Linked DNA regions of Callithrix jacchus. The protein of the gene in region 1 purifies or fractionates together with the protein of each later gene. This does not show direct contact. Links are inferred from orthologs where the notes say so. Each region holds a gene or a part of one and is shown in the gene's direction. Other genes may lie near its edges.

Region 1 (3,650 bases):
CACGCCTGTATTCCCAGCACTTTGGGAGGCCAAGGTGGGTGGATTACCTGAGATCAAGAGTTTGAGACCAGCCTGGCCAACATGGCAAAATCCCATCTTTAAAAAATGCAAAAAAAAAAAAAAAAATTAGCTGGGCGTAGTGGCGCGTATCTACAATCCCAGCTACTTGGGAGGCTGAGGCAGGAGAATCACTTGAACCTGGGAGGCAGAGGTTTTAGGGAGCGAGATCATACCATTGCACTCCAGGCTGGGCAGCAGAGGAAGATTCCATCTCAAAAAAAAAAAAAAAACAAAGGAACTTTCAACAATATCACCACTGACATTTGGGGCCAGAGAATTCTGTGTTGTCAGGGGTGTGCTGTGCATTGTAGAATGTTCAGCAGTGTGCTTGGCCTCCCTCACTAGATGCCCGTAGCAACCTCCCTCTACCCTCCTCATAGTGTGACAGTTAAAAATGTCTCTAGACATTGCCAAATGTCCTGTGGAGGGCAGAAGCATTGCTGGTTGAGAACCACTGAGTTACAGGCTGGATGACGGCAAACTGGACTGCATCCTCCCAAGGTCAACCCTGCCCTACCCAAAATTGGGTTCTTGCCATAGTAAGCTCCAGGAATTCTGGGGTTGACTTTTTGGTTTATGATAGGACTTCCCAACCTGGGACGAAAGACCTAACTCATGTGAAATTGTAGGGGTCAGTCTGGGCCACAGAGAGCAAGTGAGGTCCCATCTAGAAGGCCTCCTGCAGTCACTCTAATGTTTATTGCTTGCTGTGGGTTTTGTAGGTCATGCTGGCAGCTTCCTATTGGTCTCTCCTGGCCCCAGCAGTTGAGATGGCCACATCTTCTGGAGGCTTCGGTGCCTTTGCCTTCTTGCCCGTGGCTGTTGGCTTCACCCTTGGAGCAGCTTTTGTCTACTTGGCTGACCTCCTGATGCCTTACCTGGTGAGTACCGCTCTACTTTTAGCTGTCGTATTAACACATACCCGCTCTGTGCAATGGATTTATTACCTGTTAATGTCTCTGTTAAGTAGCCAGATGGTGTTTAAACAGAGAAAGAGGCATTAGAGGCACTGAATGGTGATTTCTTTCTTAAGGAAAATAATGTCTTGCTAATTACCTCCTTATTTACATTTTAGTAAGTTCAATTTTGAATGTCACATTTCCTTAAAAATGGCTGATGTGCTGAGTGGCACTGTATATATGAGAGGGCCGAGAACTGGTTGCTGGGTGGGACCTAGCTTCATCAGTATGATGCTGGCTCTTACTGAGAGTAGGACATCTTCAGGGAGACGACACATCCCACCCTCCCTCATCTTGTAGCACTAGACCTTTGACAACGTGTCATATCATGAGGGTTGACAGGAGGGTCGAGGGTCAGGTGGGGCTCTGTGCAGCAGGAGTCTGGGCTGGAGCTCACACCTGTCGTTTACTGATTGTGTATGCCTGACCTCAAGTTTTCCATCCTTTAGTTTGAGGATAACACCCCCAAGGGACTGTATAGTAAAATTTAGAAAATGTAAAAATGCACTGGAACTGGGGATAAGCCAGAGATTTCAGGCCTTTTTGCTGACATAAGGCTGGAGAGTTGGGTTTTGGAATGAGCATGTATTTGCTTACAGAGAAGCACCATGTGAACTGCAGCCTGGAGTGTGGCTGTGATGGCCGAGCCGAGAGAGCGGGGGCCAGGTCCTGCCATGAGAGCCACAAGCCGTTGGCTAAAGCCGTCATCTGCATGCACCATTCTCAGTAGAGGAAAGGGGTCCGTGATCATCACAGCATGAGACACCTTACCAGACATTGAGCCAGACAGGTTCTAGAGAGGGCAGAAGCACCCCGAACTGGTGCTTGAATTCCCTGCCCTCCTAGAAGAGGAAGGGGTGCAGGAGAAATCTGTGAAATGGTCACAGTCCATTTCTCATGTTGGATCACAGTGAGGCAGGATTCAGTCAGATCCACTGGAGTCAGTGGACATGTACCCTGGGAGGTAGACAGGCTGAAGTTCTCTTCCCTGCCTTCCTGCTTTCTTTTTTTTCTTAAGTTCCCAACTGGAGAAAGAAAAGGAATGGTGGACAGCTCTGCAGCTAAAACGATTCCCAGGAACTATGCCTCTGGGCCCCGGGCTAATGAAAAACAAATTCCTTGTGTTATAGAAGAACCTTTCTTTGGATCAGACAGCTGAATGTGATGTTGGACGGCTGTGGTATTGTCTTAAAGCAGAGGTCCTCAACCCCCAGGCTGAGGACTGGTACTGGTCTATAGCTTGTTAGGAAATGGGCCGCATAACAGGAGGTGAGCAAGCAGCTGGCAAGTGAGCTTTATCTTCTGAGCTCCGCCTCCTGTCAGATCAACGGTGGCACTAGAGTCTCATAGGAGCGCAAACTCTGCTCCTGTGTGTCAAATGTTGTGCCCTTTAAGAGAATGTGACTTAATCTCTTAAAGGGATGTGTGCCCTTTAAGAGAATCTGACTAATGCCTGATGATCTGAGGTGGAACAGTTTCATCCCCAAATCCCCCTACTCCAATCCCCATCCGTGGAAAAGTTGTCTTCCACAAAACCAGACCTTGGTGTTGAAAAGATTGGGACCCCTGTCTTAAAGACTGTGTGTCATTTTTTGTTGTTAAAAGATTGAGTGGCATGGCTGGGCGTGATGGCTCACGCATGTAATCCCAGCACATTGGGAGTCCAAGGGGGCAGATCACTTGAGGCCAGGAGTTCGAGACCAGCCTGGGCAATACAGTGAAACCCCATCTCTACTAAAAATACCGAAATTAGCTGGGTGTGGTGGCACAAGCCTGTAATCCCAGCTACTCAGGAGGCTGAGGCATGAGAATCGCTTGAACCTGGGAGGTGGAGGTTGCAGTAAGCCGAGATGGTGCCACTGCACTCCAGCCTAGGCGACAGAGCAAGACCCTGTCTCACTCACACACACACACACACACACACACACACACACACAAAATTGAGTGGCAGTGTCTGTTTCTGTCCCCTGGGCATTTGGCTTTTTCCTTGCTGCCCTCTTTGTCTGTGTGGTAGAGGCTTCCAGTGGCCCTCAATGCAGGCTGCTGTATTCTGATCTCAAGGCCATCCTGGTTATATGTGAACTTGCTGTTCCAATGATGTATTCTGCTTGCCCTGGCAGGTGCCCAGTGGCTTTAACCCCTGAGCAGCAGGCAGAGATCTGGCTCAGCAGCTCTGCACTGGCCCTGCTGGTCCCATTCTGACTCTGCAATCCTGGTGGGTCTTACTGTGTTCCAGGGGAGTGGGGGTGGTGGGGTCGTGTCAGGTGTATTTGGTCAGCTGTCTGAACGTAGGGGTTTTCTCTGGGCAGTGTAAACAGTCATTGACTAGTTTGTACTATGCAGTAGTAATTGGTTTTTTTTTTTTTTTTTTTTGAGACAGAGTCTCACTTTGTCACCCAGGCTGGAGTGCAATGGCCTGATGTTGGCTCACTGGAACCTCCGCCTCCTGGGTTCAAGTGATTCTCCTGCCTCAGCCTCCTGAGTAGCTGGGCTTACAGGCGCACACCACCATGCCCTGCTAATTTTTGTACGTTTAGTAGAGACAGGGTTTTACCATGCTGGCCAGGCTCATCTTGAACTCCTGACCTCAAGTGATCTGCCCGACTCAGCCTCCGAAAGTGTTGGGATTAC
Region 2 (3,030 bases), on another chromosome or scaffold:
AAAGATGTGAGAAGATTCAACCTCACAGCTGTTGCCAACACTGGGCATTGTCATTAAATTAAGTGTGTGTGTTTGTGTGTCCAAATATACATACATGGTAAATACACATCGGTGACTCTGATATGTAGTTCTTTAATCATTACTGAGATTAAACACATTTTCATATTTATGTTTAATTTGTCTTTTCAAAGCACCCACTTCCCTGTCATTTTGGGGTTATTGAGCCTACATTTTGACCCCATGTTCTCCTGAGGCTTTCCTCCTTCTGGACTGAGGGGCTCCGCTTTTCTGGCCTGAGCTCCCCCCATGGCTCCCCCATCCTCTATGTCTCAGGCCCAGCCTCCAGGGCAGTCCCAGGGGCTACCAGATCCCCTTGGAAGAACCCCTGGAACCAATGCCTAGTCTTATTAGAGGCCACTCCTGTTCCTCATCCAACCCTACTGACTTCCTTTTGCTGGCCAGGCTGCTCCCAGGCCCTTTCCCACGGAGACCTTGGCACCCCCAGAGCTGAAGGGACGCTGCTGTCTGGGAGAGGGTGTAGGTAAGCCTGATGGGGCAGAGGACAAGCCTGACTGCTGCCTTCTCTCTCAGGGTCCCCGTGAAGGAAGTACTCCCTGTCATCATTAAGCAGGGGATGAACTGCTTAGAATCTCAGGGCCAGAACACAGCTGGTGACTTCCTGCTTGGAATGGGGATCTGCAGGGGGTCTGCCAAGAACCCCCAGCCTGCCCAGGTAAGCTGCTTAGAACCTCGGGTAGGAATGGGCGTGAGAGAGAGCTGGAGGCATTGCTCGGAGTGGGTTAAGGGACTCCCCCCGCTTATTCTTCTCCTCTGCCTACACCTTACACAAACCCACTTTGCCAGGGGCCCCTATACTCTGCTCCCACGCATTCGTATCCTATGCATTTCAATACGCCTGTCACTTGGGTATCCTGTGTGCACCACTTGCTTTGTCCTTACCAAGGGAGAAGTGCTGCCCAGATAGTGCCCAGTTCTCTCCTGAGATGCAGCTGGGCTTGGCTCGTGTGAAAGGCAATGTCCAAGACTTCCGTGCACACATGAGTGTTGCACCCACATCAAAACTAAAGCAGGTCATGGAGACCCCAGTGAGGACCAGCTCCCAGCTGCCCTGGTTCCAAGTCTTGTAATTCTCTCCCATCTCCCACAGTCCCTGGGTACAGCTGTGATTGCCCTCTGGCCAGCTCCAGCTAAGCTCCCCCACCTCAATATTTTATTATCAAAAAAATTCAAACATACAGAAAAATATGAAGAATTATACAGTGAATACCCATACACCCACCCTAGCTCCTATAATTATTCATAGAAATCTTACAAAAATATGCCATGTGTTTGCTTTATCCCCTACCTACCCATCTCTCCATCCATCGCTGTACTTTTGACTTGGCCTTTCTGCTCCCTGCCTTGCAGGCCTGGCTGTTCAGTGACCACCTCATCCAGCAGCAGGGGAAGTGCCTGGCTGCCACCTCCACCTTGATGTCCTCTCCCGGATCCCCCGTCACACTGCAGATGTGCAACCCTAGAGAAGGCAAGCAGGTGAGTCTCCTCGCCTCTGGCACAGAGACCCAGCAGCCCCAGGGGACCATGCCTCAGGGTGGCAGACCCTGGCGGGGGAGACCCCAATCAACTCAAATAATCCCTGCAGAGCAAGGATCTGGGGCAGAGGAGGAGCCAAGTCTACATCTAGATCAAGCCAGTTATTTTACCCATGAGGAAATACTTCTTTGGGTAATTATTTGTTTAGTGCCATACTGCCAGGCTGTGAGCTCCGTGAAGGCAGGGACCGCTTGTCTTGTTAACACTGTATCCCTAGCTCCTGACAACCACCATGATTCAAGTAAGTGTTAGCTTTTACGGACAGCCTGTGTTACATGTTTGAAATAGATCTTCTCATCTAATCCACCCAGCCACCCTGTGATGTGGGTTCTAGTACTAGCTTCATTTTATAGGTGAGTAAACTGAGGCTCGCTGAATCTGAAGAACATATGTCAGATCACACCACTGAGAAGGGGTGAAGCTGAGATTCAAACCCAGGTCACTGTGACTTCTAGATGTCATCCCTACAAAGAAGGCAGCTCCCACTAGGGGTGTAGAGAAGTGGCCTCACAGGTCAGCAGCTTAGGACCACAGGAAGAAGAAATCATGTGTGCCAAAGTAACAGATTTACCTGGGCCGGGACTGACAAACTCAAGTGCCTACAGGGAGCTGGTGGGAAAACCCCGATAAGAGAAAAGCTGGGACCAGGCAGGAACTATGGTAAACTGGAGAACAAGAGCCCCATCTAAGGCAGAGGGCAAATCCTCAGCCCCAGCAACTGATGCCACCTAAGAAACTGGGCCCAATAACTACATAGAAGCTAGAAATGCAGATTTGCACGTGGCAACCAAGCTAAACTGTAAATAAGCACATGGTACTTCAGCTGCTTTGCCTCCTCTGATCTGGACAGGAACTTCTGCAAACTACAGAAGCAAGAGCCCACTGGGAAGGGCAGGGCTTAAAGCTTGTGTTAGGGGTGGGGTGGGGGCAGCCTCTTACGTAGGAATACACAGCCTACTTTACGAGGCGCATGACTGGGCATGGTAGCTCTTGTCTGTAATCCCAGTGCTTTGGAAGGCCAAGACAGGTGGATCGCTTGAGGTGAGAAGTTTTATCTAGACCAGCCTGGGCAACATAGCGAGCCTCGGTCTCTGCAAAAAATTGAAAAATTAGCTGGGCATTGGTGGTATGCATGTGAAGTCCTAGCTACTCGGAGGCTGAGGTAAGAGGATTGCGTGAGCCCAGGAGTACGAGGCTGCAGTGAGCTATGGTGGCACCACTGTAAGATCAAGATCATGTCTAAGAAAAAGGAGAAGGGGGTGTGTCCCAGTTATATACAAGGGTTGCGTACATGCATATGAAATGAAAGTACAACATTATTTTTTTAAACCATTGTTTTCTCCTTCTTCTTTGAACCCATCTCCGTTCCTCCTAGAAATGGAGGAGGAAAGGATCTTTCATCCAGCACTCAGTCAG
Region 3 (4,306 bases), on another chromosome or scaffold:
CAACTGCTTCACCCTGCTCCCTGAAAGCAGCTAAAAGATATACAATCCTGTCTACTCTACCTAAAAGAGCAATTTACAAAATTTGTAGTATAGGTTGTATGTTTCATTTTAAAAACACAATTCAGATTTCAAAATTAGTGTGATTATTATCACCACTTGAACCTAAGTTCTATGAAGCAAGGATCAGTCACATTTGTTCACCACTCAATAATCAGAATGTAATCCCAGCACTTTGGAAGGCTGAGGTGGACAGATCACTGGAGGTCACGAGTTCCAGACCATCTGGACAACATGGTGAAACCCAGTCTCTACTAAAATATAAAAATTAGTTGGGCATGGTGGTGCATGCCTGTAATCCCAACTAGTAAGGAGGTTGAGGCAGGGGAAATCACTTGAACCCAGAAGACAGAGGCTGCAGTGAGCTGAGATTGCGCCACTGCACTCCAGCTTTGGTGACATAGCAAGACTCCATCTCTAAATAAATAAGAGTAGGAACGCTAAACAATTTGTTGAATAAACACATTTTAATAAGTTGGCAAATATTAATTTCTGATCTTCTTCAGATTTTTCGTTTGTTATCTGCACAAATCAAAGTTCCATATTACTATTAAGTCAAACAGGCAAGGAAGACATTATTGAAGATTACTGGCAGTCGGGAAAGGGGATAGAACTCTTCTAAGCTCAACTTAAAAAAAGAAAAAGCAGTAGTGAAGAGTTTTTAAGAGCTATGTTGGGAAAATCATGGGCTACCTGAGTTTGCTGATTGAGGTTACCAAAAAGGAAAAGTAAATTTTCTCCTCCACGAGAGGAGGTGGTTTTAAGACTTGAAGGGAGAAGCCCACAGTGGTTAGGCTCCTATCCTCCCACAAAAAAGAGATGGCTATCTTCCTTGCTGATTATATTTCAAAGGCATGGCTTCCATAACCTTGAGATAGTTTTCAACTACAAAACTGGCCACAACTTTTTAAAAACATTTACATCTGAAAAGAAAAGCGGAAAAAAATTACAATGCTAAAGTTTTCTAAAGTAAACACTCTTTAGAAAGGGAGGTGAGGTACCCACATGCTTAAGGCTGGTAATCCAGCTGAGGGAAACTAAGTCCCTCTGGCTTACTGCTTAAATGTGTTATTGCAGTTTGACACCAATAAATTCAGATTATGAGCTTCCATTCTCTCAAGGTTCCTGCAGGAGAGAGTTGCTGTACATATTACACAATCTATTTTTGGCTACTTACTTTGTTAATACGCATTTTTGACCGCTCCTCACTAACAGTGAAAAGAGCAAAAAGCTTCCAGAAGACAAGTCCTTGCGCGTTCCACAAGTGCGCGTGCGCACTCGGCACTAAGCCTCTGACGTCACCGAGGGCACCCGCCCCTACAAGTTAGCAACCGAAGGCGTCCTTAGCAGCAGTGGCCGCTGAGATGCACGAACTTCCGGTTCTCCCGGCAGCTGCAGCTGCCAGAGCCTCTGCCACCTGCCACGACCGGGCCTCTCTCTGGCGTTTGGTCACCTCTTCTTCATTTTCTTCTGCGCCTATGGTCCCTCTTGGAGCCAGCGTGGCGGGCCCGGCAGCCCCCGGGTGGTGAGAGAGCAGTCTGGAAACGATGAAGGCCTCGCATTGCTGCTGCTGTCTCAGCCACCTCTTGGCTTCCGTCCTCTTCCTGCTGCTGCTGCCCGAGCTAAGCGGGCCCCTGGCAGTGCTGCTACAGGCAGCCGAGGTCGCGCCAGGTCCTGGGCCTCCTGACCCTAGACCACGGACATTGCCGCCGCTGCCACCGGGCCCTACTGCTGCCCAGCAGCCAGGCCGTGGTCTAGCTGAAGCTGCGGGGCCGCGGGGCTCCGAGGGCGGCAATGGTAGCAGCCCCGGGGCCGGGCTTGAGGCGGAGGATCACGGAGGGAAGGCCGGGGAAGGCTCAGTGGGTGGCGGCCTTGCTGTGAGCCCCAACCCTGGCGACAAGCCCATGACCCAGCGGGCCCTGACAGTGTTGATGGTGGTGAGCGGCGCGGTGCTGGTGTACTTCGTGGTCAGGACGGTCAGGTGAGGCAAAGCCTCGGTGGGGCTCCCCCGTGGGCCTGAGATGCGCAGGCCAGTGATTTCCTCCAGCAAGGCTGACTTCTGTGACCCTTTCCCTGTTCCCCAACATCAGGGGTTCCTGCCTAAGAATGTAACTTGACTGTCTTAAAGGCCTGTTACTTTTGGGGCAATTTAAGCCCACAACTAATTGCTGCCTTTTGTTTATAAATTAGCGCCCTACCTCCAAATCTCTTCATCTCACCTACGAGCCACGTCAGCTTCAAAGGGCACCCTTTCTCTGATGGGAATATAATCTTTATTTCCTTGAATTTGACAAGTTTGCCTTGTAAAATACTTCTGCCTTTCTACTCTACATTTTGCCAGTGGTCAAAATTTTGCCAATCAGAATGCAAAGTCTTTAAAGAGAGGATATCTATCTAATAGGTTTGTGAGTCTTATAAATTTTTGTATAGTGCTGCCACTTAATAGGAATTTAATATGTATTTGAGTGGATTGATAGTAGTATAGAGGTGCCTTATTATGGCTATTTTATTTTTATAAAATTCGGGAGAAGAAAAGTTCTTCCTTACTATCAGTGTTTCCTTACTAGTATTAGCCTTTAATCTGCCACGTAAGTAATTCGCTTCTACCTAATTACTTGAGAATCACCTTCCTGAAGAGTTGGCAAAAAGAGCCAAGACCTCACAATTAGGAGAAGCCAGCAAAGAGACAAGGTGAAGGAAAGCTGTTAGCAGTTTCCTTCATTGTAAAATAAGTGTAGAGGGTAGGTTTGCAGATGGCTGGTTTTTTGTTTTCCAAATTACTGCACATTTTTCCCATAATTATGTTCTGTATTATAATTTAAAATATTTCTTTTAACTGATTATTTAAAGCAAAAGTTTCCCTTTAAACAAGTCATTATGATCATGAATGGAAAACCAACATCACTTGGCTGGTTAAAAAATAGTGTAAGCCAGAGGTTCTTGACATGTGGGCCAGGGAACCACAGAGGTGGGAGTTTCACTTAGACCTCTTAGACCTCTTCAGGGGATCTACAGTATTAAAATTGTTTTCAAAATAATACATGCTGTTAAAGGCCTTACAAATAGTTGATAGATATTGTTTCAGATTCCACATTGCAACTAACTTTGAAGAAACTGCTTGTCAAGTTTTGGTGTAGTAGTATGAAAAAGAAATAACCAGTAGTATATAAAAAGGCTGTTAAAATGTTTCTTTCTATTACAAGTTTATATCCGTGTAAAGATGGAATGACATTGTATGTTTCAACCAAACAACACATTGCAAAGGATTTAATGGAGAAGTCAATATAAAAATCCGTTTCCTATTTTTGTTTCTATTTTTTAACAACTTCTATCACCTTAAGCCAGATATTAAAGGGATTTGGAAATAAAAATCTAAATGTCATTGATTTTACATTTTTTTCTCTTTTGAAAATATAGTTACTTTTCATGGGAGTTATGTTAACCTGTAATGTGTTTACTCTTATTATTTTAAATCTGTTGATATGTATAGGTTTTCTCTGGTTTAATTAATATGTTAAAAGTTGTTATGTGTAATTCACATCAGTGTAAGTTCTTTCAGAGTCTTGAGTAATATTAAGAATGTAAAGAAATCCAAAACGTTTGAGAACCACGGGTATAAGCAATATTATTCAAGCTAGATAATGTTGGTTTACAAAGGCTGGCAAATCTGTGCTCACACTCTGTTAAAGAAGTTAGAAAATGTTCTGGAAGTGTTTAAAGCATATTACCACCAAATTGAGACTTTCTTCTTGATATAAAGAAAGATTAAAAGAATATTAAAACAAATTATTTTCCTCACTATATAACTAATGTTTCATGCTGTCTGTATATAGTTCCTATAAAATGGATATTTAATGCTGTCTGTATATAGTTCCTATAAAAATGCATGACCTCTTGAGTGTTCTATCTCTTTGACATATAAATTATGGGTATAATGATCATTTGGTGGAGATATTCCTTGCTTGTTTTTCCTTTTGCTTCCACCTTTTTAATAATTTTAAATACACATATTTATTGCCATTGATTTTCTGTCATTATTGTTGTAAAACTTGGACAGATACAGTCTTTCCAATCAGATTCTATTTGATGACTCAGAAACATGATGTGTGTTAACAGCCAAATTCTGAACTGTGGCTAATAAAAACTGCTTTCTTTAACCAGCATCTAACACATTCATGCAGCCCCAGTCCTACATACATTTAGTTGGCTGCCTGGCATCCAAGGCTTGACTGATGCTAACAGTGTCTGG

Evidence for each region.
Region 2: the proteins of SLC39A11 (region 1) and GALNT16 purify together in Homo sapiens (co-immunoprecipitation; 3 studies listed by BioGRID and IntAct, counting the BioPlex papers as one, with this or other methods). This does not show direct contact. The link is inferred for Callithrix jacchus from reciprocal best matches to the Homo sapiens genes SLC39A11 and GALNT16.
Region 3: the proteins of SLC39A11 (region 1) and FAM174A purify together in Homo sapiens (co-immunoprecipitation; 3 studies listed by BioGRID and IntAct, counting the BioPlex papers as one, with this or other methods). This does not show direct contact. The link is inferred for Callithrix jacchus from reciprocal best matches to the Homo sapiens genes SLC39A11 and FAM174A.

Annotation. Positions count from the first base shown.
Region 1 is NC_133506.1:129,011,845-129,015,494, reverse strand, and holds part of SLC39A11 (zinc transporter ZIP11), read left to right. Parts: intron 1-782; coding exon 783-941; intron 942-3,650. UniProt on the Homo sapiens protein: Zinc importer that regulates cytosolic zinc concentrations either via zinc influx from the extracellular compartment or efflux from intracellular organelles such as Golgi apparatus. May transport copper ions as well.
Region 2 is NC_133509.1:104,343,071-104,346,100, forward strand, and holds part of GALNT16 (polypeptide N-acetylgalactosaminyltransferase 16), read left to right. Parts: intron 1-591; coding exon 592-733; intron 734-1,428; coding exon 1,429-1,554; intron 1,555-2,989; coding exon 2,990-3,030. UniProt on the Homo sapiens protein: Catalyzes the initial reaction in O-linked oligosaccharide biosynthesis, the transfer of an N-acetyl-D-galactosamine residue to a serine or threonine residue on the protein receptor.
Region 3 is NC_133503.1:109,934,949-109,939,254, reverse strand, and holds the start of FAM174A (membrane protein FAM174A), read left to right. Parts: upstream 1-1,435; 5' UTR 1,436-1,604; coding exon 1,605-2,038; intron 2,039-4,306.